Canis lupus familiaris: one gene and its partner. The protein of the gene in region 1 purifies or fractionates together with the protein of each later gene. This does not show direct contact. Links are inferred from orthologs where the notes say so. Each region holds a gene or a part of one and is shown in the gene's direction. Other genes may lie near its edges.

Region 1 (2,669 bases):
GCCACTGTGGAGTTTCCCAGAGCCGTGCCCCCATCCACACCCACTGGGAGCCCAGTCCTGCCCGCTCTGTGAACCTGGGGTCACTCAGACAAAGCTTTGTTCCCTACTTGGCTGCGGTCTAGCCACTTGACTGTGGCCCCTCCGAGCCTGCCTCTTCTCCATAAACTGGAGCTGTGGTGCCCATTAGGCTTGCTGGGCAGAGGACACAAGCAACCTGCTGTAGGCCCCAGTCTGGGCCTTGCTTCGTGGCAGTGGCATAGGGTTTGTCTCTCCTTTCCACACAGATACCTCTGTGCTGGTGGCAGCCCTGACCCAGTTCTCCTACCTGGCTGCAGACACCATTATTAATGGCAGCGCCACCTCCCACCTGGCCCCCACCGACCATGCTGACCGTAAGTGCGCGCCGGGCTTTACTCACACACGGTGCCCACAGGGGACCCAGGGTCCTTGTGTCAGACCCAGTGCGGGGCCTTCTTCCAGGGCTCCCAGGTGCCTGGCCCCCTGACAGTGCTCTCTCCCCAGGCCTGATGGACACGTGCCGGGAGTGTGGGGCCCGGGCTCTGGAGCTCCTGGGTCTCCTACAGGAGCAGCAGACTCTGCCCCTGGCCCAGCCCAGCCTAGTGGGGAACCCCCTACAAGGCATCCTTCAGCTGGGCCAGGTGAGGTGTGCAGCCATGGCACTGAGCATGGGCTGGGGTCTGGAGGGGTGATGATCCTGGGGTGAGGCTTGGGTCCCCAATTTCTCTGCACCTCCTTTTAGTTTGGGCTGAACAGGTGCTCTTGTGCAGAGCTGGCAGCTGGAGGACACTGGGCAGGGTCAGAGCACCGCCCCCCAGCATGCTGCTGCTCTAGCCTCTCCCAGACTCCTTCAGCAGTCCACCGGTCTGACTCCTACATGCCCTCTTCCCCAGGAGCTGAAGCCCAAGAGCCTGGATGTGCGTCAGGAGGAGCTTGGGGCCATGGTGGACAAGGAGATGGCGGCCACATCCGCGGCCATTGAAGATGCTGTGAGGAGGATTGAGGTGACGACTGGGGGCTGGGCTGGGCCAAATGTAAGCTGTGGCCACCTCTGCACCCCTTCTGTGCATGGGCAGGTGGCCTCTGCAGGTTGCAGCTGGCTTTTCTGCCTAGAGCTGCCCCCTGCACCCCCTGCCCTGTCTCCCTCCAGCCTCTTCCTCCTCTCCCGCCCCAGCTGGGTGGTTGTTTGGGGGGTATGGGGCTGGTCCAGCACCGCATCCCCCTTCCTCCCACACTGCCCCCCTCCCAGCCTGCTCACAGCTCTGTCACTGGGTGTAGGACATGATGAACCAGGCTCGCCATGCCAGCTCCGGGGTAAAGCTGGAGGTGAATGAAAGGTGAGCCTCATGCCCCTCCACCCCCGTCCCCCCAGAATCCAGGGTGTTCTGTCCTGCTTGCTCAGCTCTCCAGAGGGGACTGGAAACAATCAGAGCACACCCTGCCCCATGGGCCCACCCTGCTGAGCACCTGTGTCAGGCCTGGTAGTTGTTCAGAGGTCACACTCCCTGGGGTCACCCTGTAGAATCTTTTCTCTCTCTTCACCTGCACCTGCTGCTTCTCCCCCTCAGGATCCTCAATTCCTGCACAGACCTGATGAAGGTGAGTGGCTGGCTGGGATCCCAGGATGGATGGTGTGCCTGGGAAAGCCGCCCCAAGAATGACCTGTGCCTTGGTCTTGGCAGGCCATCCGGCTCTTGGTGACAACATCCACCAGCCTGCAGAAGGAAATTGTGGAGAGCGGCAGGGTGAGTGATGAGTGAGCAGGGCCCTTCCTGTCAGGCCGCGAGGCTGGGCCAGCAAGGGCCAGATTCCTGAAATGGGCGTGACCTCAGAGCCCTCCTCATCCCAGACCACGATCCAGGATCCCCCATCCCCAGTGGCTTCAGCTGACCTCCGGGCTCCTTTGGGTATGGGCTTCCCAGAGTGTGAAGTGATGAGGACCCCCCTCCCCAGAATGCACACAATGTGCCCGAGTCACACCTGCATCTCCCACATGGCCCACGGATGTCCCCTCGTGGACGAGGTGATCCCCTGTGGGGATCCATTGCCCCGTGACATCACTGACTGGTCCACCCTTCCCTGCCTTCCTGTCGCCACTAGGGGGCAGCCACGCAGCAGGAGTTTTATGCCAAGAACTCTCGGTGGACTGAAGGCCTCATCTCTGCCTCCAAGGCTGTTGGCTGGGGAGCCTCACAGCTGGTGTATGTCCCCCAGGTGGGGGGGCAGCAGGGTGTGTGGTGCTCGGGGTCTCGGGGAGGGAGTGTGGCGGTGGCTCGGAGACCCAGGCCCTGCCCGGCTCTGTCTGCAGGGAGTCAGCGGACAGGGTGGTGCTCCACATGGGCAAGTACGAAGAGCTCATCGTCTGCTCCCACGAGATCGCAGCCAGCACAGCCCAGCTTGTGGCCGCCTCCAAGGTGAAGCTCTGTGCGTCGTGGCCTCTAGCCTCGGCCTCGACTCTGGGCTGTGCCAGGAAGTGCGCGTGATGAGGGGGGGGTGAGCCTGACCTGCCCCCACGTGCCCCCAGGTGAAGGCGGACAAGCGCAGCCCCCACCTGAGCCGCCTCCAGGAGTGCTCCCGCACCGTCAACGAGATGGCTGCCAATGTGGTGGCCTCTACCAAGTCAGGCCAGGAGCAGATTGAAGAAAGAGGTG
Region 2 (4,247 bases), on another chromosome or scaffold:
GGAATGGGAGAAGACCACAAAATCTGTGATATGATACATAAAATGTTAACTATTAGCTTTGCATCTTCTGAGAGTCACCAGATTGAAGCACGGATTTTGGATTTGGCTGGCAGATGGCGTACACAGACTTTTGGAGTATGTTAGCATTTCATTTGAAACTAGCAAGATTACGTAGGACTACCACGGTAATTTAACATTCATAGAGATTTTAAAATTTATCCCTAAACTTGAGATAAATGTGGCCCTAGTGACATTTTAAAAGGCTCTGTTAAAGATATGCATCTCCTAGAACAGATTCACAGGACAGTTCATTTCTCTACAATGTCTACAGGTCAGTGTCCGTGTCTCCTCTGAAAATCCGGTTTACCCAAGAGAAAAAAGGCCAAAGGGAAGAAAGACTAAAGCAGGGGGTGATGGCAGGTAGTGATGTCTCAATTCTTTGAATGGGACTTCTCCATTTGCCAGCCCTCTCACTTCCTTCTATGGTCTGGACCTAAGTCACGAAGGCACTCGGCCTTGTAGGGTCAAGCTAATTTGTTGACATCATCCTACTACTTCCCTTTTCAAATTCCAGTGAAGTTATGTGTTTCCTGTCCTATTTGACACCCTACAGAAGGAATACAGGCCGGTTAGTCTCTAAATTTAGTCCGGCAGCAACGTGTCTGAGTCTTCAGAGGAGAAATAAACAGAAACGGGTGACATTTCCAAGCCTTTCAAGAAAATGGGGGGGGGGAACCCCATCCCTTCTGGAGTAGGGAAGCAGGGAGAGCGTCAACAATTCCACGGCAGGGAGAGGCCTGCTGGCAGGCTCAGGAAATGGGCCGAATGAAGCGTCTTCCTTTTCCGTAAAACCAGGCGGACGCCTTCGGGGGAGTCCCTCAGCAAAATCTTGACTCGGCCACTGAAGTCCCGGGATCCGGAGCCCTTGCCCGACCCTGGCCCAGGCGGAGCTGCGAAGGCAGCCGCACCTCCTCTTTGTCAGGCTGTTGGTTTCAACCACCCGCACCAGGAGACCCTCGGGGCGGGAGAGGGGAGACGCGGCCGAGGCGGCCGCCACCTGCCCCCGCCCGCTCCCGGCCCGCCGCGCCCGCCGCGCCCCTCCCCCGCCGCCCCTGCCCTCTGTGACCCCCGCGGCCCGCCTCGGGCGACCTGTTGGCAGGGAGCGTCACGTGACGCGGCCGGCCGCGCGCTGCCCCGGGGCGGGCCTCCTGTTGCGCCCGCCGGGCGGGTTCCATCACGTAACGCGCGGGCGCCGCCCCGCTCTTCCCTCGCTGAGCGAGGGGAGGGCGGGCGTCGAAGAGGAAAGGGAAGGGAAAAGGGGCGGGAGAAGGCGGCGGAGGGGCGGCGCCCGAGTCACGTGACCCGGGACAGCCCGGAAAGCTCCGAGGAGGAGCCTGGCGCCGCCATTTTCCTGCAGCTGCCTGTCCCTCTTGCCCTGCCCGGCTCCAGCTGACCAGGGAAGGGGTGGGCTGAGCTGAGGCGGGGGCAGGGGAGTGCCCGACACCGTGCCTGACCCCGCGGGTGACACGAGCCGGTTCTTTCTGGGCTGGGTGGCAGCGCGCGGCCCTGAGCCCCGCCCCAGGCCGGCAGGCGGAGAAGGAGCCGGTGGGGGTAGGGGGTGCGGTGGGGGGTGGGGGTCCTCCGGCGCTTGGGGGTCCCTGTCCCCGCCGGCTGCCGCGCGGGAGGGGTGGCGGAGGAGCCGCAGAGATGTCCGGCCAGAGCCTGACGGACCGAATCACCGCCGCCCAGCACAGTGTCACCGGCTCCGCCGTCTCCAAGACAGTATGCAAGGCCACGACCCACGAGATCATGGGGCCCAAGAAAAAGCACCTGGACTGTGAGTGAAGCCGACCGCGGCCCCCGACCCCGCCACCCGCGTCCCTTCCTTCTGTTTTCTTACCCCCTTGTGCTGCCGCCTCCTCGCCGGCGCCTCGCCTGGCGCGGCGGGTCCTGGGCCGCTCCGAGGTGTATTCTTCTTTGCCTCCATCACACCTGCCTTCACGGCTTCCGTTCCCGGATAAGCCACTCCCCCGCCCAGGTGCCTGGGGGACCCTGGCTCTCCCGCCCGGGGCGCCGCGACGCCCCGTCACCCCGTCACCCCGACCGACTTGCCTCTCCACCCGGCCTCTCCGCGCTCGCTGCCGCCTCTGCCTGTGCAGCCGCCTGCCCGCTGACCCCCCGGCGCGCTCCCTCGTCGCCCTCTCCTGAACGTCTCCGCTCGCTCCCGGCCTCTCCGCCCCCATTGTTTCCCCGTTAGCCTTCGGGTTCCGTAAACGCCCGGTTCCGCGGACCTGGATCCCGGCTTCTCCGCGGTCCTGGAGGCTGCCTCGGCTGAAGCGATCCCCACTTCCTTTGCTCCTCCGGCCTCTTCTGCCCCTTCGCTTCTCTGGTTTTTCTGTCCTCTCTCATTTTGGGGTTACATTTCTTTGCATCCGTAGGTTCAGTTAGGTCCCTTCGTCTCTTTTTATGTCAGATGCATCCTATTCAATAGGACTTTTATCCCAAATTACTTTCTTTGTGACAGTGAAAGTAAAGGTTTTCCGTTTGGGTGTTGGGAACGCTTTGTGGGAAGCGTTTAATTGCCTCTGGTGGAATTTGATCATTCTATTTTCACGCTTTTTAGGTAGTTGTGCATGTCAGCCCCCCCCTCCTCCGCCCCCCATATTTCTTTTTCTAATGGGAATCTGCAGAAGGATTGGCTGATAGTGGTATCATTTTCTGGAACTGTTAACCCTGGCGGTTTGAGTTTAGAAGGTTTAGTATGAAGTGTAGGTTATTGGAATAAAAGATGGATTAACATCAAACCTACGGATAACATACGTTCTCTTTAAAAATGCAGAAAAGGTGATTGATGATGCTCGAGTTCAGACTGCTTTTTACTTATGCTGGTTATCTCGGGGGACCATTTTCTCTTAACCGGCGTAATATTACTCCATTCACTAACTTACATACAATTACCATAGCTGACTCCTCCCAACTTTTTCCAAACCTGGAAGCCACTTGTAATATCCTCATTTTTCTTTTCTTTACCTCGAGGTACAAAGCTCAGTGGATGGTTACTCAAGCTTTGACTCAGTGGAGCAGCCTAAAACTTTTCAGGAGAAAAACAGGGAAATAGGCACAATAATAAATTCCTTTTTAAAATGTTAACTGGACACACTAGCCTGAATTTTATTCTACATCAAAGTTAACTTTGCTTTACTGTTTGAAGCAAGAGTGAGCATGTCCTGAAAGGGAATTCACTGACAGGAGTCCTGTTTTGATTTCTCATTTTGGACTTTGGCCGTAAGGTCTGCATTTAAAAAAAAAAAAAGTACAAAATGTGAATTCTTTCAAGATACTTTGCTCATGAAGTTCTGTTAGAACAAGTTATTGCTACAGACAAACCCATTATTCATTGTGACTTGTTCCTTCTCTGTGGGAAAGTGAAAAAAAAATAAATCCTTACTGCTTGGTTTTTCTCTAATGCGCTGATCATACAGGCTACTTTTTAACTGTCAGTCCTTGACTGTTTAGAAAATGTGGAATATATTTAAATGATGACACTTTTGTAAATGGAAACTTCTTTAAAATGAATTTGTGAAGCCAAATGTGATTTTTTTATTATCTGATATTTGGAGTAGACAGCTTTACGGTTTACTTCCTTTCAAGTGACTACTTGGCTTGCTGTAACTAATCTTATGGTTTGCCCTGAGACTGTCAGTTTTTGTTAGTTGTTTTTTCTTTTTCTTTTTTGGTTTTGGGGGTAGGTGAAGAAACTACTTGTTACTGTAAGAACTAGTTTCCTCTCTGCTCACTTGAAAATGATACATTTTAAAGAAATGTATGGCTTTTATAAGTCTTTATAAAGGTTTTTGCAGTATTTTAAATGTAGCAGTAGTCATTTTAACACATGTCAAGAAGGGTAGAAAATAGGTTAAATAGGGTTAGGAGAGTGATATTTTCTTGTGGTTTTATTAGTGCTAGCCTTTTTCTCATGTAATAGCAGCTACTGTACATGCCAGTTGGGATTAGGTTTGGAGGGTAAACTCACGTTTGTAGTTCTCTACCACAGTTGTGTTTATAAGCTTCCACTTCAGAACTTGAATATTCCTGATAATGTGTGATTTTTTTTTTTCTTTAAAACCATGTAAGTTGCCACTACTGGAGTTCCTTTCAGTAAGGTTTTAAAATACTCTTTTCCCCATATTGTTTTAAATGCCCATATAGCAAGTTTTCAGTAATGATGTAACTTTATACTAAGTAAA

Evidence for each region.
Region 2: the proteins of HIP1R (region 1) and PICALM fractionate together in Homo sapiens (co-fractionation; 3 studies listed by BioGRID and IntAct, with this or other methods). This does not show direct contact. The link is inferred for Canis lupus familiaris from reciprocal best matches to the Homo sapiens genes HIP1R and PICALM.

What each region holds. Positions count from the first base shown.
Region 1 is NC_049247.1:6,853,840-6,856,508, reverse strand, and holds part of HIP1R (huntingtin-interacting protein 1-related protein), read left to right. Parts: intron 1-284; coding exon 285-392; intron 393-522; coding exon 523-659; intron 660-911; coding exon 912-1,022; intron 1,023-1,296; coding exon 1,297-1,355; intron 1,356-1,586; coding exon 1,587-1,617; intron 1,618-1,700; coding exon 1,701-1,763; intron 1,764-2,118; coding exon 2,119-2,219; intron 2,220-2,326; coding exon 2,327-2,432; intron 2,433-2,542; coding exon 2,543-2,666; intron 2,667-2,669. UniProt on the Homo sapiens protein: Component of clathrin-coated pits and vesicles, that may link the endocytic machinery to the actin cytoskeleton. Binds 3-phosphoinositides (via ENTH domain).
Region 2 is NC_049242.1:13,530,245-13,534,491, forward strand, and holds the start of PICALM (phosphatidylinositol-binding clathrin assembly protein), read left to right. Parts: upstream 1-1,325; 5' UTR 1,326-1,707; coding exon 1,708-1,837; intron 1,838-1,900; exon of another isoform or gene 1,901-2,155; intron 2,156-4,247. UniProt on the Homo sapiens protein: Cytoplasmic adapter protein that plays a critical role in clathrin-mediated endocytosis which is important in processes such as internalization of cell receptors, synaptic transmission or removal of apoptotic cells.